Oryctolagus cuniculus: one gene and its partners. The protein of the gene in region 7 purifies or fractionates together with the protein of the main gene of each other region. This does not show direct contact. Links are inferred from orthologs where the notes say so. Each region holds a gene or a part of one and is shown on either strand. Other genes may lie near its edges.

Evidence for each region.
Region 1: the proteins of SRC (region 7) and CDCP1 purify together in Homo sapiens (co-immunoprecipitation; 4 studies listed by BioGRID and IntAct, with this or other methods). This does not show direct contact. The link is inferred for Oryctolagus cuniculus from reciprocal best matches to the Homo sapiens genes SRC and CDCP1.
Region 2: the proteins of SRC (region 7) and ARRB1 purify together in Homo sapiens (affinity purification with western blotting; 3 studies listed by BioGRID and IntAct, with this or other methods). This does not show direct contact. The link is inferred for Oryctolagus cuniculus from reciprocal best matches to the Homo sapiens genes SRC and ARRB1.
Region 3: the proteins of SRC (region 7) and KDR purify together in Homo sapiens (co-immunoprecipitation; 5 studies listed by BioGRID and IntAct, with this or other methods). This does not show direct contact. The link is inferred for Oryctolagus cuniculus from reciprocal best matches to the Homo sapiens genes SRC and KDR.
Region 4: the proteins of SRC (region 7) and ARRB2 purify together in Homo sapiens (affinity purification with western blotting; 4 studies listed by BioGRID and IntAct, with this or other methods). This does not show direct contact. The link is inferred for Oryctolagus cuniculus from reciprocal best matches to the Homo sapiens genes SRC and ARRB2.
Region 5: the proteins of SRC (region 7) and PDGFRB purify together in Homo sapiens (affinity purification with western blotting; 4 studies listed by BioGRID and IntAct, with this or other methods). This does not show direct contact. The link is inferred for Oryctolagus cuniculus from reciprocal best matches to the Homo sapiens genes SRC and PDGFRB.
Region 6: the proteins of SRC (region 7) and PECAM1 purify together in Homo sapiens (affinity purification with western blotting; 3 studies listed by BioGRID and IntAct, with this or other methods). This does not show direct contact. The link is inferred for Oryctolagus cuniculus from reciprocal best matches to the Homo sapiens genes SRC and PECAM1.

Annotation. Positions count from the first base shown.
Region 1 is NC_091441.1:102,844,725-102,848,400, reverse strand, and holds part of CDCP1 (CUB domain-containing protein 1), read left to right. Parts: intron 1-1,954; coding exon 1,955-2,042; intron 2,043-2,400; coding exon 2,401-2,460; intron 2,461-3,291; exon of another isoform or gene 3,292-3,676. UniProt on the Homo sapiens protein: May be involved in cell adhesion and cell matrix association. May play a role in the regulation of anchorage versus migration or proliferation versus differentiation via its phosphorylation.
Region 2 is NC_091432.1:66,407,621-66,411,296, reverse strand, and holds part of ARRB1 (beta-arrestin-1), read left to right. Parts: coding exon of another isoform or gene 1-16; exon of another isoform or gene 17-953; intron 954-974; coding exon 975-1,086; 3' UTR 1,087-3,676. UniProt on the Homo sapiens protein: Functions in regulating agonist-mediated G-protein coupled receptor (GPCR) signaling by mediating both receptor desensitization and resensitization processes.
Region 3 is NC_091439.1:109,289,068-109,292,743, forward strand, and holds part of KDR (vascular endothelial growth factor receptor 2 precursor), read left to right. Parts: intron 1-165; coding exon 166-280; intron 281-377; coding exon 378-541; intron 542-1,982; coding exon 1,983-2,139; intron 2,140-3,114; coding exon 3,115-3,238; intron 3,239-3,676. UniProt on the Homo sapiens protein: Tyrosine-protein kinase that acts as a cell-surface receptor for VEGFA, VEGFC and VEGFD. Plays an essential role in the regulation of angiogenesis, vascular development, vascular permeability, and embryonic hematopoiesis.
Region 4 is NC_091448.1:51,504,594-51,509,010, reverse strand, and holds the start of ARRB2 (beta-arrestin-2), read left to right. Parts: upstream 1-1,546; 5' UTR 1,547-1,680; coding exon 1,681-1,703; intron 1,704-4,417. UniProt on the Homo sapiens protein: Functions in regulating agonist-mediated G-protein coupled receptor (GPCR) signaling by mediating both receptor desensitization and resensitization processes.
Region 5 is NC_091437.1:37,460,019-37,464,344, reverse strand, and holds the start of PDGFRB (platelet-derived growth factor receptor beta), read left to right. Parts: upstream 1-1,435; 5' UTR 1,436-1,880; intron 1,881-4,326. UniProt on the Homo sapiens protein: Tyrosine-protein kinase that acts as a cell-surface receptor for homodimeric PDGFB and PDGFD and for heterodimers formed by PDGFA and PDGFB, and plays an essential role in the regulation of embryonic development, cell proliferation, survival, differentiation, chemotaxis and migration.
Region 6 is NC_091448.1:14,342,172-14,345,847, forward strand, and holds part of PECAM1 (platelet endothelial cell adhesion molecule), read left to right. Parts: intron 1-779; coding exon 780-853; intron 854-2,992; coding exon 2,993-3,046; intron 3,047-3,676. UniProt on the Homo sapiens protein: Cell adhesion molecule which is required for leukocyte transendothelial migration (TEM) under most inflammatory conditions.
Region 7 is NC_091442.1:21,177,299-21,180,974, forward strand, and holds part of SRC (proto-oncogene tyrosine-protein kinase Src), read right to left. Parts: intron 2,193-3,676; coding exon 2,160-2,192; intron 1,458-2,159; coding exon 1,359-1,457; intron 1,246-1,358; coding exon 1,142-1,245; intron 1-1,141. UniProt on the Homo sapiens protein: Non-receptor protein tyrosine kinase which is activated following engagement of many different classes of cellular receptors including immune response receptors, integrins and other adhesion receptors, receptor protein tyrosine kinases, G protein-coupled receptors as well as cytokine receptors.

The DNA of each region.
Region 1 (3,676 bases), on a different chromosome or scaffold from region 7:
GCAACCGCATCCTGAAAGGATCATGGGGGTTCAGTGTTGGGCGTGAACATGTGGGGACCAGGGGCGGGCCTCTCACCCAGCAGTTAAGATGTGGCCAGGAATGCCCACATCCACTGTCAGTGTGTCCTGGTTCAGGCCTCTGGCTCCTCTCCCAATTCCAGCTTCCTGCTAATGCAGACCCTGGGTGGTAGGGGATGGCTTAAGTAGTTGGGTCTCAGGCCGGTGCCATGGCTCACTTGGCTAATCCTCCACCTGCGGCACTGGCACCTCAGGTTCTAGTCCCAGTTGGGGCACTGGGTACGAGTCCTGGTTGCTCCTCTCCCAGTCCAGCTCTCTGCTGTGGCCCGGGAGAACAGTGGAGGATGGCCCAAGTGCTTGGGTCCCTGTACCTGCATGGGAGACTGGGAGGAAGTACCTGGCTCCTGGCTTCGGATCGGCATAGCACCGGCCATGGTGGCCATTAGGGGAGTGAACCAACTGAAGGAAGACTTTTTCTCTCTGTCTCTCACTGTCTATAACTCTCTGTCTCTCTCTCGCTCACTGTCTAACTCTGCCTGGCAAAAAATTAAAAAAAAAAAAAAGTAGTTGGGTCTCTGCCACCCATGTGGGAGACCTGGATGGAGTTCTGGGCTCCCCACTGCAGCCTGGCCATTGTGGGCATTTAGGGAGTGAACTAGTGGATGGAAGATCTCTCACGGTCTGACTCACTGTCCCTCTCTCTCTCTCACTCTCTCTCAATTGTAGTAATCAATTTAAAAATAAAAATAAGGCAAACGTGGGGAGGTGGAAAGTGGGGTGGGTTTTTAATCCACTCCCGTGAAACACTGGGATGGTGAAGTGCCCTCGGTGTCAGGCTGAGGAGCCAGGCTGGGAGCTGCCTGTCATTTGCCAAGTTACCAGATGCGAGGTGAGCTCTGGCCAAGAGATGCCCGAGAAGCTGCGCCCCCAGGGCCTTGTCTGCTCTTGGTTCGGTGATGGCTGCGGAGCACAGGGTGTTGGAGCCACAGGGGTGGAGGCTGTTTTCTCCCGGCCCCTTCCCCTTCCTATGGGCAGAGAAACTGAGTGTCCTGCTGGGCCCACACCCCAGCTAGCGGCAGAGGGGCCGAGAAGGGGCCAAAGCCACGGGTGGGAAGCTCCCCGCCTCCTCTCTCATATTCATTTCCTGCCGTTGCTTCCTCTTCCTGTTTCCTTGGAATCACACTTTGCGTTTTCTCAGTGCACAGCCAAGAAGTTCTGAATGCCTGTCTGGCGCGGGGTTCCCGCTCTGCTCTGTTTTCTGTTCCCTGTGTAGAGCTGTAGGAGGCTGGCACGAGCAAGACAGCGCTCGCCGCAACTGCTTTGCGTCTGCCTTTGGACGCCCAGCTTTCTGCTGCTCTCTCTGCTCTGTCCTTCCCCACAACAGGCTGGAGGGGCCAGGGACACCCCCATGCAGCCAGCAGTGGCCTTGGGAGCACGGCTGGTAGGTCCCCCAGTTTGTCTAAGTTTGCATGCAAACTACCCCGAAGATTTAGTGATTGAGACATTGTTTTGTTTTTGCTCAGTTTGTGGGTCAGGACTCGGGACAGGGCACAGCAGGGTGGTTCATCTGCACAGGGTGACCTGGGGCCCCAACCAGATGCCTTGAACCAGCTGGAGGAGGCTGGGATGGTAGAGGGGAGTCCTACGACAGGGACCTTGGTTCTCCCTTTAAGCTGGGCTGGGTTCTCTCCCCATGAAGCCGTCACGTGGCTAGCTTGGGCTTCCTCGCAGCATGGTGGCCTCAGCACAGACTTCTTACACCGAAGAAGGAAGTGCAGGCTGACATTCCTCTTAGAGCGTGGGCCCAGAACTGCCATGGCTGCTTTCTGGCGGCCAGCAGATTGCAAGGGAGGGGACTGGAGCTGCTGGGGGCTGTCTCTGGAGACGACTCCGGTTCACCGTCGGGCTGACCACCTGTCCTGTGTTCTGCTCATAGACCTCACGACCGTCATCAGCGCAGCGGTGGTAGGTGGCGCCTTCCTGCTGTTGGCCCTCGGACTCATCATCTGCTTTGTGAAAAGGAAGTAGGTGACACTCTCGGCCGGCTCTGGCTGGCGGGACGCCCCCTCTGGCCACACAGCCCCGGGGTATTGTGGGTCACTGTGAGATGACACTGCCAGTGTGAGCAGGGGAGGGGAAGAACACAGATGGTGACACCGTCACTCCGTGAGTCACACTTTCTGTAAGTTGACTCTCACGGGGGGGGGGGGGGTGGTGGCAGGGGAGGCTCAAGACAGCCACTCCTTCCGTTACTTTGAGGCAAGAACAGCATGACGCCAAGACTTGTTCTGCAGCTTCTGCCCTGTGCCTGTTCATTGAGCCCCAGGCCAGGTCTCCCCAAGCCACCACTCGATTTTCTAAATTCTCCTGTTTCTCATTAAGGTCATGGAGGAAGGGCGAAATCTGTGTTCCTTCATGTGATGGCTTGATCTACCAGAAAAGGCAATGAGGATTTTTTTTTTTTAATTAACCATGACTCTGAGCAGACAACTGAACTTCCTGGTGGGCAGTGAGGCATTCTAGAAACGTCTGGCCTGGCGGGGAGGGCCTAGCTCACAGCAGACCCAGGGAGGGTCTTCTTCCCCCTGCAGTGGTCGCTCACGTACCGCATGGGGAACGACCTCACAAGGTGAAGCATCATCTTGCCGCCTGGCCCAGGAAACATGCTGGTCTGGGGTGCATGGGACGCCCAGTGCAGTGGGGAGAGCATGGTGTGGACCCCAGGCTCCTACTTCCCCCACAGGAGGGCACTGGGCTAGGTGAGGGGCGAGTCCACCTGCTCCGCTCTGGGCTTGAGGATCCCCGACTCCACCTTGTGGTGGGCCTTGCCCTGGCTGGCAGGTTGGCTTTGGAAAGGCCCGTCCATGCCTAAGTTGGTGTAGAAGGATGGATGGGGGTCTGCAGTGAGAACAAGGGGACACGATGCCTTTGACACTGCACTTGTTCAATACGCAAGTGTCTCCTGGGCGCTGGGACCCATATGAGGTGCCGCAGATGACAGTGAGCAAGACACGGTCTCTTCTGCCACCCGTGGGGCAGAGGGACAGAGGGCAGGCAAATAAACAGGCAGTTTTGGGGCCAGGTGAGAAATACATTGGTGGGGACAGGCAAGGCACTGTGAGAGCACCAAGAGTGGACACCTGTTCCAAGGCTTCAGGCAGGAGCCTCTGGCACCCGTCATCCTTGCCGGCCAGGGACAAGGAGTTACAAGCTAAAGGTGCTAGGTTTATTTTATTTATTTAATTTTTTAAGTTGAATCTTGAGTGGTAATACCTTTCTTCTTTCTTTCTTTTTAAGAATTTTTTTTTTTATTTGAAAGGCAGAGGCGGGGGAGGGTCTTCCATCTGCCGGTTCACCCCCCAGAATGGCTGCAACAGCCAGAGCTGAACTGATCCAAAGCCAAGAGCTAGGAGCTTCTTCCAGGTCTCCCATGTGGATGTATGGGCCCAAGGACTTGGGCCATCTTCTACTGTTTTCCCAGGCCATAGCTGGGAGCTGCATCGGAAGTGGAACATCCGGGACTTGAACCGGCACCCATATGGGATGGCGGCTCCGCAGGCGGCAGCTTTACCTGCTACGCCACAGTGCCAGCTCGCTAGGTTTATTTTTTATCGCGCACAAATGCAGGGAGCCTGTCCACAGTGAGAGAACTGCCAGC
Region 2 (3,676 bases), on a different chromosome or scaffold from region 7:
GCTTGCCTGCATGTGACTTGAAGGACCCTCGTGCCTGTTCCTCTTCCTCCTGCCTTGGTGGGGTTTGTCTTCCTTCCTTGTCCTTGCACGTCCGTCCACCCGTCCGTCCGTCCGTCCGTCCACAGCGCCTGCGCCTGCTCGTCTCACACAGGGCTGGCTCGGGGCCCCGCCCACACCCCACCCCACCAATGGAATCAGGCTGCGGGGCGGGCCAGGGTCTGGGACTGGAGGACTGACCCATGGGGTGTGCCATGTGGTCCCGGACAGCGAGAACCACCCCCAGGTGGTTTTCTCCCTCCAGCTCCTGTCCCCCAGGAGGATTCTGGCATGTGGGGTGTCCAGTCTCCCCACCGGGATGCCCCACATGTTGGCGGCAGGATGTGGGGCAGGGAGCTTTGGTGGCTCCCGTGGGGTCCCGAGTAGACAGATTTTAGGGTAGGAGAGAGCCTGCTTTCATAGATGTGGCCTTTAGCCCTGCAGCCCCAGTCAGGCCTCCCCCTCCCACGCCCCGCGCCAGCTCTGGATGGCTCAGGATGGACTGTGAGCCTGCCGCAAGCCCTTTGAGGCTGTCTCGTGCAGTAAGCCAAGCCCACTTCTTCCGGGCCAGAGCCAGGCATGCCTCCCCTGGCCGGGTTTTTGGTGGGTGGGGTTTCTTGGGTCTTGGTGGGGTTGAGAATAGGAGTGAAACTCCTGGGGCCTGGCCTCCGACCTGGAGATCCTTTCTTCTCTGGGCACTGAGGCACGTGGCCAGGCCCCCGAGAACTGGGTCGCTTTTCTGGCTCTTAGCTTCCTGCCCCCAGCCGCTCTAGTCCACGTGTGACCACCCCCACTGCCACCGGTGGGCATCCAGATGGGCCAGCCAGGCTGGCCTTCCTGCCCAGGGTCAGCCCCGGAGGCCAGAGGTTCCAGGGACCCAGAGCAGCTGGCTCTCACGCCCCTGCAAACACGCCGCATTTTTCCCGTCTCTCCCCCAGTGATGACGACATTGTGTTTGAGGACTTTGCCCGCCAGAGACTGAAGGGCATGAAGGACGACAAGGAGGAAGAGGATGACGTTACAGGCTCCCCGCGGCTCAACCACAGATAGGCTGGGGCCGGCCCTCCCGGGGCGGCTCCAGGTCTCAGGCACTAGGATGCTTCTTCGTCTACTTCCTGTTCTGGTGTCCCCACCCCAAGCCCCGCCCCCTTGTTCTTCCACTTTCTCCCTGGGGGGGCCCAGTGGTCTTCCTGGGCCTCAGAACCGGGCCTGCGTCACCATGCCGACAGGGCCTGCGTCACCACGCCGACCGGACCCGGTGCGCCCTTCACCTCCTCTGCCCACTCAGCTCTCCGCCTGGCCCGCTCCTCATCCCAGAAAGGCCGCCTCTGGCCTCGGGGTGGCCGGAGATGGGGGAGAGGAAGGGGGCGGCGGGGGCGGGCAGGAGGACACGGGGTGGGCTTGCGGGCCCCGGATGCGGGAGACCACGAGCACAGTCCCAGGTGGTTAGCGCAGTTCTGGCAGCGAGAGGACGGCCACCTTGAAGGCCACCCTCTCCTGGCTGCAAGGCCAGACCCCCCTGATGGATTGGCCATGCCTTTGTGCGGTTTGGAGCGCCAAAGACCTCCCCTGCTCTTCCCCCTGCCCCTTTGACTTTGGTGAAGGTTCCTAGGCCCCAGGAGTGGAGAAGAGCAACTGGTCTGACTTCGCTACCAGCAGCCTCTCTAGACCAAGGCAGGCCGTGTGAGCTAGCCGAGTGGACTGTAGCCTGGCGGGGGGCGTGGCGGCGTCGCTAGCCTGTATTTGATGTGGTGCACCTGTCTGTATTTGTGCATGGAAGGGGAGGGGCTCTTTCGCAGACACCCACCCCTGGCCAAGGAGGGAGGCTTTGGGAGGTGGGGATGGGAAGACTAAAGTCTGTCCTGTGCTCCTGCCTCTGAGGATTTAAGGCGATCACACAGGAGGCAAGGCTGGAGGTCCAGGGGCGGCTGGCCCCGACCCCGCCAGCCCGCTGCCGCCGATGCTGCCAGCGTGTTCTCCTGCTTCCCCCTGCAGACCTCCCGCCTGGGCTGGGCTGGCCCTGCAGCCCGGGTGCAAGTGCCTGAGGACACCCTGCCCGAGGACCAGGGGTTCCTTCCCAGAAGGTGGCAGTGCCCACCGAGAGGCACTCACCCAAAGAGGAGGCTGCTGGGGAGCAAGGAACCCCTTCTGTCCTTGGCGAGCGTGAGGGCCCAGCAGTTGCCACCTGCTGGCTGCTGCTCCCCACGTGGTGAGGGAGAAGAAGGTGTTCCAAGACATCTTTCTCATCTGGCATTCAATGCTAATGTGCTGTGTGACCCACGGCGAGTTCCTTCCCCTCTCTGGGCCTCAGTTCCTACCTGGAAAGCCAAGCAGTTGACCAGATGATCACAAGAGGGCCCTCCTGGCTGTGGGCAGCAGTCAGAGCCCCTGGCTGGGCCTCAGAGGTGGCCAGAGCCTCCAGAGCATGTGACCACTCCCCTGGCCTCTAGGCCTGGGAAGGCCATCAGGCCCATGGGGAGCGCACGCTGTGGGGTGGGGGGCTTCTCTGATGTCCAGTGAGGCCACAGCCTGCATCAGCTGCTCTGTCCTGGGGCCCGAGGGGCCTATGGAGGGGCGGGGCTTGTGTGTGCTGGGCTTGGGTGGCAGCTTGTGATAGGGCGTCCCCTGCAGATGTGGACACCCCGAGGCCCACCGCATGACTAGGTTGCCTAGCGGGACAAGGACGCCCCTCGGCATCTGCTCTCCTTCATCTCCATCCCCTCCTGGCGTGAGAAGGGAGACCACCGTGCTTCTCCGCAGGGTGGACCCTTACCCTTTAAGGGCCGGTGCCTCCGGAGCTGGGCTTTGCAACCACTGCTGTCCCGAAATGGCTCAGTTCCCAGGCTCGGCCTCTGCCCCTGCCGAATCTTGTGCATATTCAACCCGGGTCAGAACCAAGTCATCTTGGGACAGTGGCGCCCCTCCATGGCCAGTCCTGGGGCCCAGCCCCTACCAGAGCTTGCTGGGCAGTTTGCACCTCCTCTGGGCAGCTGTACGAGGGGTCTTCAAGAAGTTCATGGAAAATGTGTATTATGAAAAAAAAACTATGCATGGATCTCAATATTTTTTTTGCACCAATAAACTTAACCTTTGAATTCCATTTTCCCATCACTTGTTGAAGGACCCTCGTAGAGTTGATGGAATACATGCTGGATGGCACACGGCAAGCGTACTCTCCAGCGTCTTCCTCTGGGGCCAATGGCAAGGCCCTGTAGCATGTGGGGTGACCAGTCCCCTGCAGCCCTCATCCCCCATCCCTGATGTAGGTATACAGAAGCTTCATCAGGCTGGCCTCGAGCTTCTTCGTCATTGCCACCCCTTCTGGTTCATCCCAGCATTTCACTGAAATGTCTCCAGCTGCCAGCCACTCTCCGAGCCCTGTCTGTCCTTGGCCCTTTGAGCCTAGACTGCACAAGGTCAATGGCCAAGTTTAACTGGACTCAGCCTCACCATGTTCTTCCGAGGACGCCCCTGCCCTGTGCCCAGCGTCGAAGCTGCAGAGACAGGGCTGTCCTGGCCCCTGCCCTCAGGAAGCTCACAGCCCAGAACATTGCTGAGGGGATGTCCTGTCTCCTGGGCTCCCTGGCTGCTGCTGCTGGCCCCCACAGTGCCTTGATGTGAATTAGACAACCGGGCCCCT
Region 3 (3,676 bases), on a different chromosome or scaffold from region 7:
CGCAGGGACAGGGTGGGGAATCCCAGAGCCACACCTGCTCACTCACAGGGCCTCTGGCTTTTCCCATGAAATAAGAAAGAATAACAATAACAACGATAACCAAGCCCAACAGCCACTCTCCGAAAGTTGACACCTATGAGAATAACGACTTTTGTTTTCTTCCAGAGAAGCCTTTTGTTGCTTTTGGGAGTGGCATGGAGTCCTTGGTGGAGGCCGCGGTGGGAGCGCGCATCCGAGTCCCCGTGAGGTGGCTGGGCTACCCACCGCCTGAAATCAAATGGTAACTACTGGGATGAAATAAAGAGTGTTGTTTCACAAGAAGGCAGATGCTTCCATGACACTCATTCCCGGGTTTTTTTGCTTTTTTGGAATCATAGGTATAAAAATGGAAGACTCCTGGAGTCCAATCACACGATTAAAGTGGGGCACGTACTGACCATCTCGGAGGCGAGTGAGAAAGACACGGGAAACTACACCGTCATCCTCACCAACCCCATCACCAGGGAGAAGCAGAGCCACGTGGTGTCTCTGGTTGTGAATGGTGAGTCTGCTCTGTTCTCCCAGACTGACTTGAGGGGCGTGGTTTTGTCTTCCTGTGCCACTAAGCCACCAAGGCTTTGTGTCCTGCTCCGTCACCCATATCATGACAGAGCTCGTGTACAAAACTGGCTGGGGCAGCAGACTTGCAATGAGATGTGGGACTGTGTGCTACCCTGCAGCCGTGTTTTGGCTCAAGAGGCCCTGTCCGTGAGCTGTTTGGTGGCCAAATGCAAGATTAAAGCAGATGGTTGGCTCGGTGGCCAAGAACGCCCCCAGGGACAGTGGTCAGCCTGGGCCGCGGGACCCGCGCTCCCGTCTCGTGGAGCTGCGCGCCTGGTGCACAGATGTCCGAGGCTCTTCTTGAAGTTCAAGGCTGCACTTGGCGTTTCAGGGGGGGCATGGGCAGGTCCCAGCTCAGAGGGCGTTGGCTTGGTTGGAACTTTTACTGTTCTGGACGGGAGTACAGCATCTGACTCTGAGCTGGAGGGACGACAGTAAGTTTTTAATTTCAGGACGACTTGTTGTCCCACACTCAAAGGGCTAACGAAATGTTTGGGATGGGGAAGGAAGGGTCCAATGGTCACACTCGTGGGGAAGCTGCCCTGATGGTGTGAAATACTTTTTGTAATTGCAGAACTTCTTGGGGTCTTCAAAATGCTCATGTGTGTGCCGTTCTCATGGCACTGAGCGTGGCGTCCCTCCTTTTTGCAGGGATGGGTTTAAAGATCGCGTGTTCTGAACAGGTGCTCGTGTGCAGTGAGGGCGCGGGGCTTGGAGAAGAGGCAGTGGCCGGAAAGCTGAGGCAGCATACAAGAAATAAAGACGGAGGCACGGGCAGGGAATCGCCCCCATTTCATCCATTCATGAAGTCAGCGCACATCTGATTCACTTAGCATTTGCCCTGCTGCATGGGAGAAGGGGGGTAATGGAAGTACCACCTGAGCCTTCTGGTCGACCAGAAGGACATAGTGCGATGCTGGCACTGCAGGCGGTGGCTTTACCTGCTACACCACAGCGCCGGCCCCTGTCTGCTTCTTAGGATGGGTATCACGGGACCTCAGCTGTCCTGTCCCAGCTGTCCTTTGAAGTCCAAAGTGGGCCCAGAAGCATAGATGGCGTTAAGCGGCAGAGCGCCCCAGGCCTGGAGGGGTGACTGTAGCTCACGGCACCTCAGTGTGCAGTGCCGGCAGCCCTGGAAGAGGGCAGGCTGCACACAGGGAGAAATGAAAAGGAAACGGAAGTGCCAAGTGCCTGGAGGCGATCAGCTTGCAGTGTAGGCACGTCTTACATAGCACACTGTTCCTGTAGTGCAGGCTAATCGCAGCGTAAAAACGTTAAACACAAAACAAAACAATGCAAAGCTCTCCTTTGGTCGGGAACGCCTCTCCTGTGCGACCCCCTGAGCTGACTGACAGTTCACGGATTCACTGTCCCGCCTCCAGTGCCGCCGCAGATTGGGGAGAAGTCTCTGATCTCGCCCGTGGACTCCTACCAGTATGGCAGCTCGCAGACGCTGACCTGCACCGTGTACGCCGTGCCTCCCCCGCACCACATCCGCTGGTATTGGCAGCTGGAGGAGGAGTGCTCGGAGCAGGCCAGGTGAGTGGGCCTGGGGCCGTGCAGCTCCTTGTCACCGCCTTCTAAACCAAGACAGCGACCCCTGTGTGTGTAGGGGGGCGAGGTCTCCTCCCGCTTCCTGGGGTTTTGTGTCAGAGCTGTCTTGGCTTGCTCGGGGGTCCCACTCTGGGACAAGCTGGCTGTCTCTTCTTGGGGCGGCCTGGGGCACACTTCTCCAATAGCAGGTGCTTCGCTCAATTGGATGATTTTCCATCTTGGCTTTCTCTCCGCCCAATCGGGGGCCAGTGCGCTGTTGCCTTCCGGTGGGTGCAGCCTCGGGCCTGGTTTATCAAGTTCTCACACAAGTGCGGACATCCTCAGGGGACAGGACAGGACAACAAGCAGCCCATCAGCCCCTCGCGGCTACTTCCTGTTGTTGTTTTCGCCATGGCCACGAGGAGCTTCTTCCACAGCCGCTGGCCGGGGAATGAGTTTCACAAATCCAGTGGCTTCGCAGTTTCCCTGCCTTCCTTTGAACTGAACCAACGTGAATGTCTGTCGTCACGTTTATGAATGGAGGCTGTTCCCAAAATAGCTGCTTCCCTCCTGTATCCTGAGTGGGTCCGCCTCGAACCGTCCCCCCTCTGTCCAGGCCTATTTTTAATTGGCGCCACATCTCGCAGTGTGGCTGCCCTGACAGCTGTTTCTAGGAACACAGGGCCCCGGGTCGGAGTCCTCTCCTTGCTATTGATCTGGGGACCGAATCCTACCACATACGTGACGACGGACCGTTCTTTTTCTACGTTTCGATCAGTCCTACGGCCCCTCACTTTACAATATTAATTCCTCTGTTTTCAAGAGAAAGGTAGCCTATAGGTGTAAGTATATAATGTCTACCCAGGAAGGGAGTGTGGTGAAACGTTAACAACATTGTTAAATATTACAGCTAAAAAATAATAGACTTCTATGAAAAGGGAAAGCCAAAATCCTAAGTGATCTGTTCGCTCTTTCTTACAGCCAGTCGGCCTTAATGACAAACCCATACACTTGCAAAGAATGGAGAAACGTGGAGGATTTCCAGGGAGGCAATAGAATTGAAGGCAGCAAAAATCAGTTTGCCCTGATTGAAGGCAAAAACAAAGTAAGCTTGAAGTCCTTTAATTCAAATCTCTCTCTCTCTCTCTCTCTCTCTCTCTCTCTCTCTCATGGGAGAATAGTGCAGTGATAGAAGGGGTCTTCCAAAAGTTCATGGAAATGAGTATTACAAAAAAAAACCGCTATGCATGGATTTCAAAAACTTGTGCACCAAAATAAATTGATCTTTTAATTCCATTTTCCGTGAGCTTTTTGAAGTCCCCTTGTACGGGTGGCGTACTGGGAACATGACTGTATGATACGATGCTAGTATGCTAGTGTATGAAGGAGGCTAGGAAACACCACCGACTTCTAGCAGAGCCTCTCACTTCCGAATAGCTCGTTGGAGAAAAGCGAAACGCTCGCCCCATTTCATGCGTCCGTCTGTTAGAAGGTGATCCTGATTTTGCGAGCCCGAGAAGGGGAAGGTGTTGTATTAAAATAC
Region 4 (4,417 bases), on a different chromosome or scaffold from region 7:
AATAGGCTAATCTTCCGCCTTGCAGCGCCGGCACACCGGGTTCTAGTCCCATTTGAGGCGCCGGTTCTGTCTCGGTTGCTCCTCTTCCAGTCCAGCTCTCTGCTGTGGCCAGGGAGGGCAGTGGAGGATGGCCCAAGTGTTTGGTCCTGCACCCCATGGGAGACCAGGAGAAGCACCTGTTTCCTGGCTTCAGATCAGCGCCGTGCGCCGGCCGCTGCTGCGGCCACTGTGGGGGTGAACCAATGGTAAAGCAAGACCTTTCTCTCTCTCTCTGTCTCTCTCTGTCTCTCTCTCTCTCTCACTGTCCACTCTGTCAAAAAAAAAAAAAAAAAATCCCTTAGAGTCCTAAGCCCAGAAATGTCAATCATCCATCATCCTCCCTGAGGTCCAATGTGACAGCCCCAGAAATGATCCTCCAGTCCGGCCCCTCTTCTCCCACCCGCTCTCAGCCATCTCCTACCCTCCGCAATGCCCAGGATTAATCTCCAAAAACAGAACTCTCATCGTGACACTCCACGGCTTTAAAAAACCGGCCCGGGTTCCACGTGTCCTCCTGCGGGGCGGGCCCGCCGCCCCAGTCTTCCCCTCTGCCTGCGGGACAGGATGTGCCCGCCTCGCCTCGCCTCGCCTCGCCTCGCCTCGCCTAGCTTTCCCTTCAGAACGCCCTTGCTCAACGTGTGCCCGTTCTTCGGAATTGGCGTCCTCACATTTCCCTTCCTCTGGGCAGCCTGCCGAGCGCAGTGAGCTGCTCTGTCTTCTGAGTCAGCCCTCTATTATAGCATTCCTGGACTCATGACACCTGTCCACGTGTTCCTCGACTGGACCAGAACGCCAGGGGCCGCGATCACTCATGCGTGTCTCCAGGGCTCTGCTCAGCGTCTGGCACAAAATGGGGCCGGGGTGTGGGGGCACGGATGGATGATGGATGGATGGATGATGGATGGATAGATGTTAGCGGGGACCGGCGGGTGGAGACGTTGACATTAGAAACCCTGCACAAATCCAAGACAGACACCAGGGGGAGCTGAGACACCGCAACAAAGCCGGAGGGCGGGCCTAAGGAAACCGCAAGCTCTGGGATGAGCCGAGGAGCGGCGCGCACCCTAGCAGGCATCATGCAACTGGAACGGCTCACCCACGTGTGCATCCCCTCACCCTCCAGCCCAGACTGTTTGAGTTCATTCCACCGCCCCCACCACCCCGGCAGCCCCCATCTCCACCGAGAAAGCAAACAAAGGGGAGGAGACCCCTACTGGGTTGTGGATGCCAGGAGCCAATCCGAGGGCTGCAATCTCCTGAAGGGCGGGCGCCTCGTTGGAGCGGCCCAATCCGCTTGCAGGGATCTGCGGAAGGGCGGGGAGATGGGCGGGAGAAGCGGGAGAAGGGACCGCGCGCACGGGGGGAAGGGCTCCCCTGGGGACTGGAGCGCAGAGGGTGGAGGCGGAGCCAATCACCGCGCGAGTCTGTGAGGAGAGGGCGGGAGCGCCCGGCGCGCGCGATCCGGCTGACGCATCTGGCCCCGGTTCCCCAGGCCCGGAGGAGGGGCCCGCAGGGGAGGGGGAAGAGGAGACAGAGCGGAGGACGCGCGTGCGCAGTGGCGCGGGGAGGAGCAGGACCTAGCAGCGGGCGAGAAGGCTTGCGAGCCAGCCCCGAACCGGGCGGGCGGCGGGCGCGCGCACCATGGGGGAGAAACCGGGGACCAGGTAAGGGAGGTGGGGCCGCGCGGCGGGATATGGGTGGCTGCGGCTCGGGGCTGGTGCCGAGATAGTCTCCAAACAAGGACACCGGGGAGGGAAAGCTGGGGGCTGGACGCCTGGGTCCCCAGGGGGCAGCCATCGGGGCCCCACGCTTAGGTCCTCGAGGGTACTGGGGTGAGTGGGGGCGCATGCACGGGCCCTTGCAGAGAGCAAGGCCTGAAGGGTACCAGAAACCGGCCTCGGGGGTCCTCGCAGGGATGTAGGGGTTCTCGCGTGCGGGCTGCGATGTAGGAGGAAGCAGGAGCAGGTGGCCGGTCCCAAAGGGTCGCGTCCCAGGAGGCTGGATGCTGGGAAGGGGATTCCCCCTCTAGACTCGTGCGGAGCCCGAGGGAAACCTGCCCAGTACCCTACAGCAGAAGGGCTGCCCCCACCTGTCCCAAGGACCGGGCGGCTCCGCTTCCAAACTTCTGCCTTCCCGTGGGTTGCCAGGAGCAACAGCTTCATCTTGAGGGAGCAGAGTGCGTGGCGACCCTCCCCGAGGCTGGGCGCCGCGTCCCTTCCCAGGGCGCGGGGGAGAAGGGTCTGCCCCGAGCCACGCATCCACTCCCCGGATGTTTTCTGTGCAATTGAGGCTCCTTCCTTCCACGGACACCCCGAGTTCTCTTTTTTGGTCTCTACCAAAATCCACTTCCTGTTGTGACCCAACACCCCCAAGGGGGCAGGGAGTGAATGCCGGGGCCCCAGGGGAGCAGGAGCAAAAGAAAAGGTTGGGGCTGTTTGTCTCAACCAGGAGGGGCTCATGAGTGGTCCTGAGCTGTCACTAGAACTGCAAAACAAGATCCCATCAACCCCACCCATTGAGTAGGAGAACCCAGGCTTCGGCTTCTGAGCGTAGAGTAGACCACTATCAGGGAGAGGTCAGCGCAGCAAGGGAAGATGGGTGTCCTGGATTAGGGGCTAAGCACCCTCAGAGAAGGGAGAAGTCACTGACTTGGAGGAGGCCCCCAGTTTCCGTTATGTGGTTTAGGGAGTGGGGGACGGATGGGCCAAAGGAGGGCTGCTGACTTGGCATAATTCCCTCCACCCCCATCAAATTCTGGGCCACAGGAAATGGAGAGAATAGCAGGAAGCGCGAAGGGGCATCTGCTTCACTGCCCCCCACCCTGACCGGGCACCTCCCTGCTCATCCCCACACTGTCTCCCTGGGCGGCCTGAGCACGCACACGCTGCTCCTCCCTGCCCTGGCAGGAGGGGGCCAGGTTAGGATCCAAAGGGCAGGTGCTCCAGGGTAATTGCCCCAGAGCCACACTCCTCTTGGCCAACTGATTAGCGCCCCTGCTGGGTAGAAACGCTGGGGCAAGGAGGGGACCCAGAAGCAAAGGGGAGGGAGAGCCTGGATGATGCCAGAGCAGTCAGCCCCCCCTCCCAACCCAGGATGGGCAGAAGGTAGGGTGCTCATGCTGGCTGCCCCCTCATTGACAGCTTAGTGACTGGGGAACTTCAGGGGCTGCTAAGCCCTTTGCCATATGACCTTTGGACAGCTTGCACTGGGGAGAAGGGGCAAGTGGAGTTCCTGGAGCAGACACCGGGGTGCTGGAGGGGAAGGAGGGAAGGGCCAGGCGGCAGCCCTTCAGTTTCTCCTCTCTGGGACCCTTTCCAGCGGGCACTGCCGAGCAGAATGGACTAGAAGGAGTTAGATGGTGCTTCCAAGGACAGGCCCACACGTGGCCAGAGCAGGGGTCGCCAGACACGTCCCTCCCCTTCCAGAGTCTGATGAGGCTTAGATAGTTTCAGCAGCTGGGAAGAAAAATGCCCTTCGGCTCAACAAACTGTCAGTGCTCACTACAGAGATAGACAGTGTAACCGTGTAGCTGTTGGGAGCTGAGACCCACAGCCAGCCTGCCTCAGTTTGTGTCGGACTTCTGTTTTACTCTGTGACCTTAGACGAAGTAGTTGACCGCTCCCTGCCTCAGTTTCCCCAACCCGTACAATAGGGCTCTTGGGGGCCCACCACTGGGCTGTTGAGTACTAACTGCGATCACGCACTTGGAACGGTGCCAAGCACGGCACAGTCACGCAGAAAACGTTAGCCACAATCACCCTCTGCAGCGTGCGGTGGCTGCCGCGCCGGGTGTGCCGAGGTGAACGAGGCCTCTGAGGCTTCGCAGGGCGAGGAGGGAGGCAGAGGAGGCACCGCTAACTGCTCTGGGTGCTATCACACCGCAAGCGAAACATAAACAAGATGTGACAGGAACCCTGAGACTGGAGGGTCTGGGGCCTGGACTGCGTCTGCTTGCCTTGAAAGACAAATAGGACCTGAAGCTGTTGAGGCCAGAGACAGGGCCGGTCGGTAGTTCAGGGAGCGGGGTCAGCCTTGGGTAGTGCCTCTGGTAGGAACTGTTTGGCGGGACAAAGGCCAAGGCCGAGCTCTCCGTGGAGCTGGAGACCAGATGGAAAGACAGTGAGGTCTTAGGGAACCACAACCTCCCCGTTCAGTGCCCCCCGCGGGAAGGCCCCTGGGGAAGAGCCTGGGTGGTTCCTGGAGCGGCCAGAAGCCATTCCCATGGTGGGAGGGGGGTTAGCGAGGGTGGACCTAGGACAAGAGAAGGGGCGTTTGCCCTAGCAACCGGCTTCAAGGGGCTGCCGGGTGTATAAAAGACTGCCAGGGAGGAAGTGGGAGGGGGCAGCGCAGGGCACAGCCCCTGCGAGTCCAGGGCGCG
Region 5 (4,326 bases), on a different chromosome or scaffold from region 7:
GAAGGGAGGCAGAGAGGCAGGGGCAGTATGGAGGACCCCCGTGTCCTGTGCGGCCCCAGTGCCTTTCTGCTCCTCCGGGACTCAGTTTCCCCAGATGCACAGCCATGGGAGCAGGGGTGCTCAGCTCTGCTCTCTAAGCCCCCTTAATTGAAGCAGTGTCTTATTGGCATCAGAGGGCTGGAGACTTCCAGTCCAAGGAAGAGCATCAGCCGGGGACCTGGGCCTTGGCAGACCCCTGTGGGGAAGGCGGGTGGGAGGAATGGAAGTGCCCCAGGGCAGGGGAGAAGGAGGGCAGGGGTGCCATCTGTGCTGGCGGGCGTGTCTCCTCTGGCATGCGTCTCCCGAAGTCAGGTTCTGCCAGCTCTGCCCCTGCCCTGTGGGCCCAGGAAGTGCAGCTCACTTCTCCGGGCCTCTGTTTCCTTGCCTGTGAAATGGGGACAAATCCTCTTCTTGTCCTCTAGGGGCTTTGAGCACCCAAAACATGTATCTTGAGATCTGAAGCGGTGTGCTGGGTGTCCTTGGGCAGATTGTATTTCCTCCCTGGCCGGTTCGCATCGAGCCTTGCATTTGCCCTCTGAGCATCTTGGGGTGTCCTTCCCTCCCTTCTGGGTCCCATCCTTGAGAGGCGCTCCCTGGTTCCCTCAAGCTTAGGTCACATGTCCCTCTCGGGGGTGGGGAGCCTTTTTTTCTGCCAAGGGTCATTTAGGTATTTATAGTATGATTCCCAGGCCATACAAAATGATCAGCTTAAAAATGAGCCTGCTATGGATTTATTGAATTTTAGGCCCTGCCTGTGGCTGCCTTGGTAGGGCCAGGCAGCCTGATTCCGTGCCTTGCCTGACATGGCCTTCAGGCTGGACGACCCCCACCCCTGAGTCCACTCTCCCCGCCTCTCCTCCTGCTCAGCCAGGGCCCCCGATCAGAGGCGGCTGCTATGCCACTGTCCCCAGCCCTGAGTACCCCAGCTGGCACACAGCAGTTGCTTAATATGCCTGCAGAAGAACTGACTGATGGCCCAACCGGCCCTATAGATGACCAGAGCTTTCTTGACAGCTGGGGAAACTGAGGCACAGGGTGATTTCTCCCTCTCCCCCAGGTGCCATGGCAAGAGGAGACTGCCACCAGCCACCAGATACAGGCGGCAGGCGAGTGAGGCCCGGCCACTCTTTAATAAAAGTGACTCAGCGGCTGGCGTGGGCTGCGGAATTTCTAAACATCCCCTCACATCCTGAGAGAGCAGGCGACGGGAGGGAGAAAGCAGAGGGAAAGGAGGAAGAAAAACAAGAAACGGGGAAAAGAAAGAGAGAGGGAAAAAACCTGAAATTGAAAACAGACGCACGCGCCCACCCTCCCGCCCGCCCGCACCCCCCTTCCCCCGGCTGGGCCAATCAGAAGCCGCCCTGCAGCCTTTCCCCCAGAGTGGGGGGGCAGGGAAGCCCACAGTGGTGCGAGCTCCTGGGGCCGCCTGGGCCGGCAGTCCCCGCCCGCCCTCTCTGGGACCCGGGACAGTTCTGCGAGCCAGAGAGGAGATCAACAGGGAGGAGACGGCTGAGCCCCTGAGCCCTGCCTGGCCGGTGCCCTGCCCGCTCAGCCAGCCAGACCCAGGGCGGCCCCTCCTGGCGGCCCTGCTCCTCCCCAAGGATGCTTGGGGCGTGAGGCGAAACTGGGCCGCTCCTCCCCTGCAGCCCCCGGACCCTCCGTTCTCCTGAGTCTCCAGGAGTCTGCCACGGCCCTTCTTGCCTTTCTACCCCTGCTGCTGCCCCTTGTGGGTCCAGCGAAGTCTTTGTGATAACGGGGAGAGGGCAAGAAGGAGGACTTCCTGGAGGGGGTGACAGTCCAGAGCCCGGGACAGTACTCACACCAGAACACTCAGCAGCAAGGTAAGAACTGGGAGAGGTGGGAACCCCAGTCCCAGTGCCCTGTCCCCTTACCCCAGCCTGTGCCTCTTTGGGTAGGTAAAAAAAAAAATAAAAAATGCGAAATATTTTTAACAAAACCAGATGGGAAGAGGCTGGGCGGCTCTGGGTGATGTCAGGACTGGAGGAGCCAGTTCTCTCCATTCTCCTGCTCTGGGATGGGTGGCCTCTGCCATTGCCCCCTACCCCCATGAGCCCTGCTGCCTCCTGCCCTCATCAAACACCCCCAGAAGTTTCTGGGGGCCATGTGGGGGCCATGTGGGGACCACCGAGGCACAGTACGGGCTGCGGGGCTGGGGATAGCTGGCAGGAGCAGGAGTGAGGGGAACTGGGGGATGGCATGCAGGGGGCAGAGAAAGGGGGCCTCGCGGGGCACTGGGGACCTCAGGGCCACAGCCCCTGCCCCTCGGCCCAGCTCTGCTTCTAAGAATCGGCTCTGGCCCTGGGCCAGCCTGCCACTAGGCAACCTCTGGGGATTTAAATGGATTTGCAAATTTTCCAGATTCCTGAGATGTCCTTCCAAACCCCCAGCCGCTGGGAAAGTTTTGAGGGTGAGGGAGGCCCCCGTGGCCGCTGGGGCTGGGGAACTGAGGCCCGGCTGTCAGATCTGGGGGCTCCTTTGCAGGCGCAGGCGTAGGCGGCAGCTCTCAGGACCCCTCTTCGCCTCCCTCCAGCTGGACTGTGCCCCTCTCCTCTCCATCCTGGAACCGGAGGCTGCCGGTGGCTCCCCAGTGCCCGCAGGAGCCCCAGCTGCACCGATTGGCGTTTGCTGCATGCCAGGGCTGTGCTTTGTGAGCGGGCTCTGCTGCAGTGCTCACCAGAGGCACTGGGCGGCTATTTTCCCCTGCTTTCCACGGTGGGGGGTGCAGTGAGGCGAGTTGGGGGCAGGTCTTGGAGAGGTTGTAAGCGCCCCTGCCTCATTGCTGCAGACTCGGGCCTTTTGTTCCTGCCAGGCAGATCCTAGAATCCGAGAAGGAATTTGTACCAGCCTGCCTGTGGGCATTTGCCCTCGCGTCCTCTGCCTGGAATGCCCTTCCTCATCACTTTTCTTCCAGGGATCCTCCCTGCTCTGTCTCTTCCAGGCAGCCCTCCTGGCTCCTTCCAGTCTTGCAAGTGCTTGCCATGCACTTCGTGTGGCAGCCTTGCTGCTCGGCCCCCTCCTCTTGCTTGTGTGCCACTTACGCATCAGAGCCTGTCCAGGCCCCAGGCTTCCCTGTCTTGCCTTCTGTCCCCTGCGCCAGCCCTGGGCACCGAGGGATGGCTCTGCTTGCCTCTGTCGTCCCCAGAGCACACAAAGGCCTTCATCAAGCTGCTTCACAGTCATCGAGTCCTCCTGTGTCTCACCCATTCGGGGACATCCAGTCCCAGGCAGGCAGGCACACTCTGCAATCTTCTTAGCGAGGCTTTGAAATCCCTGTTGTTACTCCACTGTGCAGATGAGGAAACCAAGCCTGGGAGAGGCAGAGTGGCTTTCCCAGGGCTACGCAAGTCAGTCTGGTTGGTGCTGGGACCAGAGTCTGTCTTAAGCCAAAGGCTTAACCCTCCTGCTGCCAGAGCGCTCCTGGCCAGGGAGCAGTGGCGTGCGTGCGGAGCCTGCCCCTGGCGGGATGGAGGGAGTGCAGCTGTCTTCTGCAGGGCCCTAGCTTGGTCTGCAGAGAGGAAGGAGCCTGTGTGGCCAGCACCCTGCTCTCCTGCTCTTAGACAGAAGTTACCGGGCAGCCCTCCCTCCTCTGTGGGGAGAAGAGCTGGGACTTGTAACTGGCGCCAGATGTGAGGCAGGTGGTGGAAAGCACCGTGCATTCACAGTCAGCAGACAGAGCACTGGCCCTGGCTCATTCAAATCCGTGTGGGGCCAACCTCAGAGCTCCTGTCCCCTCCCCAGGCTGCTTCTACATCTGGGAGGCAGTGGGCACCGTGGATAAACAAAGCCAGGCTCGGGCATCAGATGACCAGTTAGTGACCAGCCCTCTGTCCCTTCAGCTTCTGGCTGTGTGACTCTGCGCCAGGGCTTTGCTTCTCTGGGCCTCAGTCTCCTCTGTGAGCAGTAGGGCAGTTTGTGGGAGCCGTGAGATGACCTAAGGCGCTGAATGAGGTCCCTGTATTTCCTGGGGGCAGCCCTGAGGCCACTGGCCGAGCGGGGTGATGGAGCCGGGGGCCTGCACCTGGGTATCTCTGATTCTAGAGCTGAGTGGGGTCGGGACAGCCCTGGGGACCCAGCATCAGCTGTGGAGGCCACGCAGCTTTCCAGAGGTGGTCAGCAGCCCATCAACCCCTGTGACCGTGGGCCAGTCCATCCCTCTCTGGGTCTTGGTTTTCCTATCCATCCACCAAGGAGGTAGGCACAAATGATTGCCGAACTCCCTAACAGCCTGAAAACAATTCCAGGATCCCAATCCCAGCCAGCCCAGAT
Region 6 (3,676 bases), on a different chromosome or scaffold from region 7:
TGTAGGTGTGAATGCGTGTGAGTGTGAGACTGTGTTTGAGTGTGAATGCATGTGAGTGAGTGTGTGGGGGAGTAGTGTGAATGTGTGTGAGTGTGAATGCATGTGAGTGTGTGAGTGTGAATGCATGTGAGTGTGTGGGAGTAGTGTGAGTGTGTGAGTGTGTGTGAATGTGAATGCGTGTGAGAGTGTGTGTGAGTGTGTTTGTGTGAGTGTGAATGCATGTGAGAGTGTGTGGGAGTAGTGTTAGTGTGAGTGTGTGTGAGAGTGTGAGAGTGTGTGAGTGTGTGTATGTGTCCCAGTGGAAGATCCCTGACTTCATGGGAAGGAATGCCTTTGTTCTCAGATCATGCTCTTCCAACACTATTACTTGTGAGATGCCTTTTTTCCTTAGGAAATTATAAGGATAGCAGATGGAAATTTAAAAATGTGCTTACTTGGCACCATAGAGTTGGCCTATATGAAATGGTTACACTCTCTTATTGATAAAAATCTAAAATTCAAAAGTATGGAGATGGTTGCTCTGTTCTTGTGGGAAGCAGTAACAGTTTGAGGGTTTGGGGTGGGGCGGGGCCTGGGGAAGGATTCCGGGTATTTGTAAAAAGAATAAATAAAGATGTTAGTTTTCCAAGTGAGATAGTAAAGTGTCTCTCACTGTGGAAAACTCTTCCTAATTTACCCTTGGTCTTCACTTGGGTATTTTGTCGGTTTGGGGTTAGATCCAAATCTATGTATTTTACGTATCTATGACATCTGTTTTCCTTTCTAACCTTCATCTTAAGGCCAGCAGCACCACTTCTGAACTCCAACAGCGAGACCGTGTCAGATCCCAACATTGAAGCCAACAGTCATTATGGTAACACCGTGGTTTCCTTCCTAGCTAAGGGTGTTTTCCAACTTGCCACACACTGCCTTTGCTTTAGAGGCAGAAGCTGTAGGGGTGGGGATAAAGTTGGGAGGGAAGCCCCAGCTTCAAGGAGGTCTACTTGATCTTGTCAGTCATTGGATGGGGAGCTAATACAACAAACACTTGGCAGGAAAGGCAGAGAAATGTATTCTAATTTCCCACCTTCTAAGCCGCCTGTAGGATGAAGCATGGAGAATGACTGTGGGGTCTTCATTCCTTCAAAGCTTTTAACTATTGCTCAAGTGTAATCCATTTCCATTTGTAGAAGGAGATCAGACATCAGATTAAAGCATTGGCAAAACATCTTAGTTTAAAAGAGATTTATTTATTTGAAAGGCAAAGTGACACAGAGAGAGACAATGAGAGAGATCTTCCATCTGAGGTTCATTCCCCGAATGGCTGCAGCAGCCAAGTCTGAGCCAGTTGTCTGAAACTCCGTCTGGGTGTCCCACTTGGGCCGTCTTCTGCTGCCTTCCCAGTGCACTGGCGGATAGCTGCAGCTGAAGCAGAGCAGCCGGGACTTGAACCCGTGCTCTGATAAGGGATGCTGGCAGCTGAACCTACTGTACCACCACACCAGCCCCTGGCAAAATATCTTCACGGCTGGGCTTCCCACGAGCATAAGACGGGTTCCTCCGTATTTGCAGTTTCATATTCTGTGGTTTCAGATACCCATGGTCAACTAGAGTCCTAAAGTATTGAGTGGAAAGTTCCAGAAAACACATCATTCTTCATCCAGCATATCTCACTGTCCACTCTACGTGCCCATTAGTCACCTATTAGCTCTCTGGGTCATGGGGTTGACCGTCACAGACACTGCAAGACTCGTGTTCAACAGCCTTTCCTTTACTGAACACCAGCCCCAGAGTGGAAGCGTCGCGATCAGACGTGCCACAGAGATGCCGTAAAGCGCTCCCTCTGAGGGCAACGCGGAAAGCTTCCAACTTAGAGAGAGAAAAAGCAGTCGCGTGCTGAGGTTGCTAAGTGAGGGTGAGCCTTCTACCTGCGACGCCATGGTGAAGCAAAAGGAACTCTGGATTTGCTGTCACACCTCAGACTGCAAGTGTGGGACAAGCACTCAGTTAAGGTGGAAAAGGGTTTGGTGCCAGCTGTGTTGTCAGGCAGCACTGAGTATCTTGAGACACCCGCCATGGATAAGGGAGAGCTACTTCGATTCACCACCAAGGGCAACCAGTTAAAGATTGCACTTAGCACAGGCATCAGATGAGCTCTCCAGTGAAGAAATACCTGGTTACGAGGCTCACCACAGGTGGGGTTGTGCTCAGCAGGGTGGGCGGCCAGTCCAGGAGTTCCTGACCCCACCAGATGTAGGACCAAGGCCACATGACTAGCCTCTCAGAGGTGGCCTCACTACATCACACAAAAACACCAGTCCCAGCCCAGATTCGGGCTATTTTTCTTTCTTTAATATTTTAGTTCTGTTTATCTGAGACAGACACACAGAGATCTTCTATCCATTGATGCATTCCCTAAATGCTGCAACAGCCAGGGCTAGGTTGGGTCAAATCCAGGAACCAGGATCTCAATCCAGGTCTCCCATGTGGTTGGCAGGGACCCAGTTGCTTGAGCCATCACCACCGCCTCGCAGTCAGCAGCAGCAGGAAGCTGGGATGGGGAGCAGAGCTGGGATTGCAAGCAGGCACCCTGATGTGGATGCAGGCCTTTCAAAGCCCACGCCCCTTCCTTCCATGGCAGCTATCGTCAGGAAGGGCAGGGGCGGTCCCGGGGACTCAGAATCGCGTCCACAGTCGCTGAGTGCGCTGGCACAAGGCCGAGTGATTCCCTCATGATCGCACTGATGTGTGAGGCCTTCCTGGGCCAGTTCATGCATCTGCTCCTTCCTGGTTCCTAATGTCACCTTCAGCCAGGCAGGGATCGGCAGAGCCGCCTGGCACAGGCTCTTCCCAAGAGCACACGCCAGCCACCGTGGGGGAGGTCAGGCAGAGAAAAGGGCGAGGCCGGACGCGCGGCAGGAAGCCCCTGGGAAAGCCATGAATTCTTTACAATGTATAGAAGACTAGGATTTCCGCTGCCACTCAGCCTAATGCATTGTTCTCCTGCTACCAGGTTACAAGGATGATGTTGCAAACCATGCCATGAAGCCAGTAAACGAAAATAAAGGTAAATATCCAACAATGATTGTCTGAATTAGAAACTTTACATTAAAAAAGATCCCCGGAGAAAGAAAATGAAAACCTTGGCCAATGGGTTATTCCCTACCCTGTTAGTGATCCCGTAACCAAGTGCTATGTGAGATGGGGGTGGGTTGCTTTCTCCAAAGATGAGGTCTGGGGTCGTGCATGGGGAAGCAACCTAGATCCAAGGAGGAAAGAACCGAGTGACACCCAAGAAGCAGATTCTGGCTCCGGAGGCTGCTGAGTAGGCGCGCGTCCTGGGTGGTGGAGGTGGAGACTTGCAAGGAAGCGTTTGCTCCTACCCGGAGCTCAGAGGGCCGGCGCTGCACCGTTTCTCACCATCGCCTCCCGCCAGGGCTGTGAGCGGCAGCTCTCTGTAAAGCCTCCCCCCCCCCCCCCCGGGCAGGATGGGTTGTTTTAGCAGCCGGTCAGAACCCCTGCTCCTTCGGCATTCAGAACAAAGCAATCACGTTATCCCAAGATGAGACAGACACTTCCAAGATTCTGCCCAAGTCCCCCAAGCGCATGTGTGTGCTCTTGCTCTCTGGGCACCGTCAGGATGCAACCCCCATGCCCCACTTCCTGGCAGTCTTTCCGACATCCTCGGGTTGGCTTA
Region 7 (3,676 bases):
GAGCAGAGGGCCTGGCACAGCGGGCACTCCATGAAGGTTTTCTGGGAGTCTGGGAACGGCCCCCGCGGTTATGCGCCCCTCGCTCCCAGGTTTGCCCTTGGGGACACAGTCCACGCCCGGCCCCTTCTGCAGACAGGTCAGGCCCAGGCAGGAGACCACGTGCTGTGTGTGGCCAGACGGTGGCCCTCCTGGTGCCCAGCCTGGCTGGCAGCCCATGCTACCCTTGCCCAGGAGATGCCTGGCCGGTGTTGGGGGCAGCACTGGGTCCTGGGGGCAGAGGCCTTCTCTGGGGCCTGGCAGGCAGTTCCCGGCCACCGAACTCCCAGGGACGCACTCAGGCAGGTAACACCCGCGGTGCCAACACAGCATGCGGCTACCCCCGGTCGCTCGGTGAGTCAGGACCGAGCCGGGCCTTGAACCGCCTCCTGAGTGTCTTGTGACTTTCTGCAGGTGGCCTGGGCCAAGGGCAGGCAGGAGCAGAGGCCCGAGGCTGCAGCTGGCAGTGACCGCCACAGGTGTGTGCACACGCACATGCACACACACACAGGTGCACACACCTGCTGGCACACCCACACCCAGCAGCCACACACTCCCCAGGCCCCCAAGCGTGAGGACGAACCCACAGTCCCAACCTCCACATGTGCACACACACACACATAGGCACACACCTGCACAGGGGTGCCCACGTGTACAAAGCCGCCTGAGGGCTCAAACGCACACACCTGGCCTGGATGCTCTGCCTCCCTCCTCCCCTCCCAAGGAGGGGCGGGGCCAGGACTGGCCAGGGAAGGCCGAGGCCGGCTCCCAGCACTCACTGCAGCCCCAGAGGCCCCTGGGGAAGGGGAAGAGAGGGCCCCCTGCATCCGCACCCATTCTGGGAACAAACCTGTGCTGTGACACTTGGACCTCATGACAACCTGGGCCCGTCCTCATCTGATGAAACTGAGGCCACGGAAGTCTCGTCTCTCCTCTTGCTGCACCCCGTCTCCCACCGCTGACTTAGACACGCGCCTGCCTGACTTCTGTCCTGCCGTTTCATCCTCTTCCTTCTCTACCCCCAAACTCCTATTCATTCTGCAACACCCAGCCCCAAGAACCCACAAAAGACTCAGCCTCTGCTGGCCAGCAGGAATGCTGCTACCTTTCGTGGTCTCACTCTCGCGCACCAGGAAGGTCCCTCTTGGGTTTTCTGCATTGAGCAGTAACCGCTCCGACTCCCGCCTGGTAATCTTGCCGAAGTACCACCTGGGGAGGGAGGGACGAGCGGTGAGCAGTCCAGTTTCCGCCAGCCCTGGACCCCTCAACCTCGCCCAGCAGTCCAGGAGCAGTGGTGAGCAGACGCCCAGGAAGATACTCACTCCTCGGCCTGGATGGAGTCGGAGGGCGCCACGTAGTTGCTGGGGATGTAGCCGGTCTGTCCCGTGCTGAGCGAGTGGGCCAGCCACCAGTCTCCCTCCCTGCACAGGGGAGAGCACGGAGCCAAGGGAGCCGTCAGCAGCCAGCCCAGGGCCGCTGGCTTCCTGCAGTGAGCGAGGCTGGGACCAGGGGAGCTCTCGCATTGCCCCATGGAGCTGGCCTGCAGCCCCCCTCCCAGGCCAGAAGGCAGCCAGGGTCTCCGTGCACGGAGCAGAGGCCAGGCCTTTCAGAAGGGCGCTCCTGGTCCTCGGGGGCAGGCAACACTGGAATGGGAGAGAAGACTCCCGCCCAAGAGGAACGTCAGGTTCCACCCTCCGAGTCTCCCCCAGCCCTGAGGTTCAGAAGCCAGACGCCAGGAGCTGGGGAGACCTGGGTGGAGGCCAAGGGGCACCCTTAGGGGCAACCCAGGCCCCAGCCTGCAGAGCAGAGCAGTGCTTGCCTGTCACAAACCATGGCTCACGCCTACAGGGTCCTCAGCCGCAAACTACAGGCCCCTCCTGCAGCCTACCCATCTGCCACGGGAAACTGAGGCCAGAGGGGGCAGCGACTTGCCCAAAGTCACACAGCGATCTCGTCAGAGGGGTCGAGGTGGCGCAGCCCACTGCCCAGGCCCCTTCTGTACTAACTGCCCCAGGAGGAGGAGGAAGAGGAGGAGAGGAGGAGAGGAGGAGAGGAGGAGAGGAGGACGGGGACAGGGGCAGGAGGAGCCCTGGGACCTGGGGAGGGGGTAGGGGCGGAAGTACCTTTGCAGCCATCTGAATGTGAACCAGGTCTGGCTGGAGCGGGGGTCCAGAGACACAGAGGAGGGAGGAGAAAGCGAGAGCCCGACGGGAGAGAAGAGGCAGAGATGGGGGTGGTGAGCGGCAACGAGTGGCAGAGAGAGCGAGGGAGGGGGCAGAAGAGCCAGGCGGGGCTGGGGACAGAGACGGGGCAGCCACAGAGGCCTCGCATCCAAAGCAACCCACAGGGCGGGGCTGGGAGGTCGATGGGCAGGGCAGCCCGGGGACTAGGGTTCAGCCCCCATCCTATTCCCACTGTACAGATGGGAAGACTGAGGCCAGGGAAGCAAAGCACTCTGCTCAAGGTCACACAGCCAGCCCCAAAGGAGGAGGACCCCTCCCTACTGGGTGAGGAAGGACCTGACAGTCTGCTGAGCTCTCGTCAGTACAAGGCTGTCTTGGACGTCACCTTGGCCCTGAATGACGCCGGCAGGATGCGCCCACCGCCACCGCCACACAGAAATACAGAGGCCCCTCGCCTGCAGTCACACGGTCTCCACTCGAACCAGGACCCTTACTCCCAGCTTCTCTGAGCTGCCCCTGGCCATACTCTTCGGCCCGTGTTAAAGATGCAGAAGTTGCGGCCAATGCAGTGGGGGAGGGATAGGGCATTTGATGCACTAGTAAAGATACCACTTTGGGATGTCCACATCTCGTATCAAAGTGCCCAGGTTCAAGTCCCAGCTCCACTTCCGAGTCCTGCTTCCTGATAATGCACCATTGTGGGTGGCAGCAGCTGATGGCTCAGGTGGCCGGGCCCCTGCTACCCACAGGCGAGACCCAGATGGAGCTCCCAGCTCCCCGCTACCCACAGGCGAGACCCGGATGGAGCTCCCGGCCCCCCGCTACCCACAGGCGAGACCCGGATGGAGCTCCCGGCCCCCCGCTACCCACGGGCGAGACCCGGATGGAGCTCCCGGCCCCCCGCTACCCACGGGCGAGACCCGGATGGAGCTCCCGGCCCCCCCGCTACCCACAGGCGAGACCCGGATGGAGCTCCCGGCCCCCCGCTACCCACAGGCGAGACCCGGATGGAGCTCCCGGCACCCCCGCTACCCACAGGCGAGACCCGGATGGAGCTCCCGGCCCCCCGCTACCCACAGGCGAGACCCGGATGGAGCTCCCAGCCCCTGGCTTCGGCTCAGCCCAGTTCTAGCTGTTGTGGGCATTTGGGGAGTGAACTAGCAGATGGAGGATTTCTGTCTCTACCTTTCAAACAAATAAAAATGATAAAATTTTTTAGAAAGACAGTACCAGGCTGGAGGACTCTCTGAGGACTCATGAAGGGGCAGTGAGCACCCCAGGCCCCGGGAAGCCCCGTGTGTGGAGCAGGGTGTAGGGGCCTGGCCTGGCTGGGGCTGGGCAGCCTTGCATAGCTGTGTGACAGCTGCTTGCACACTCAGCTGGGTGTGAAGCTCTGGAGAGAGTCTTTGGGGGAGGAGAGGGCCCCAGAGGAAGGGGCAAAGCCCCCTCCAGGGAAG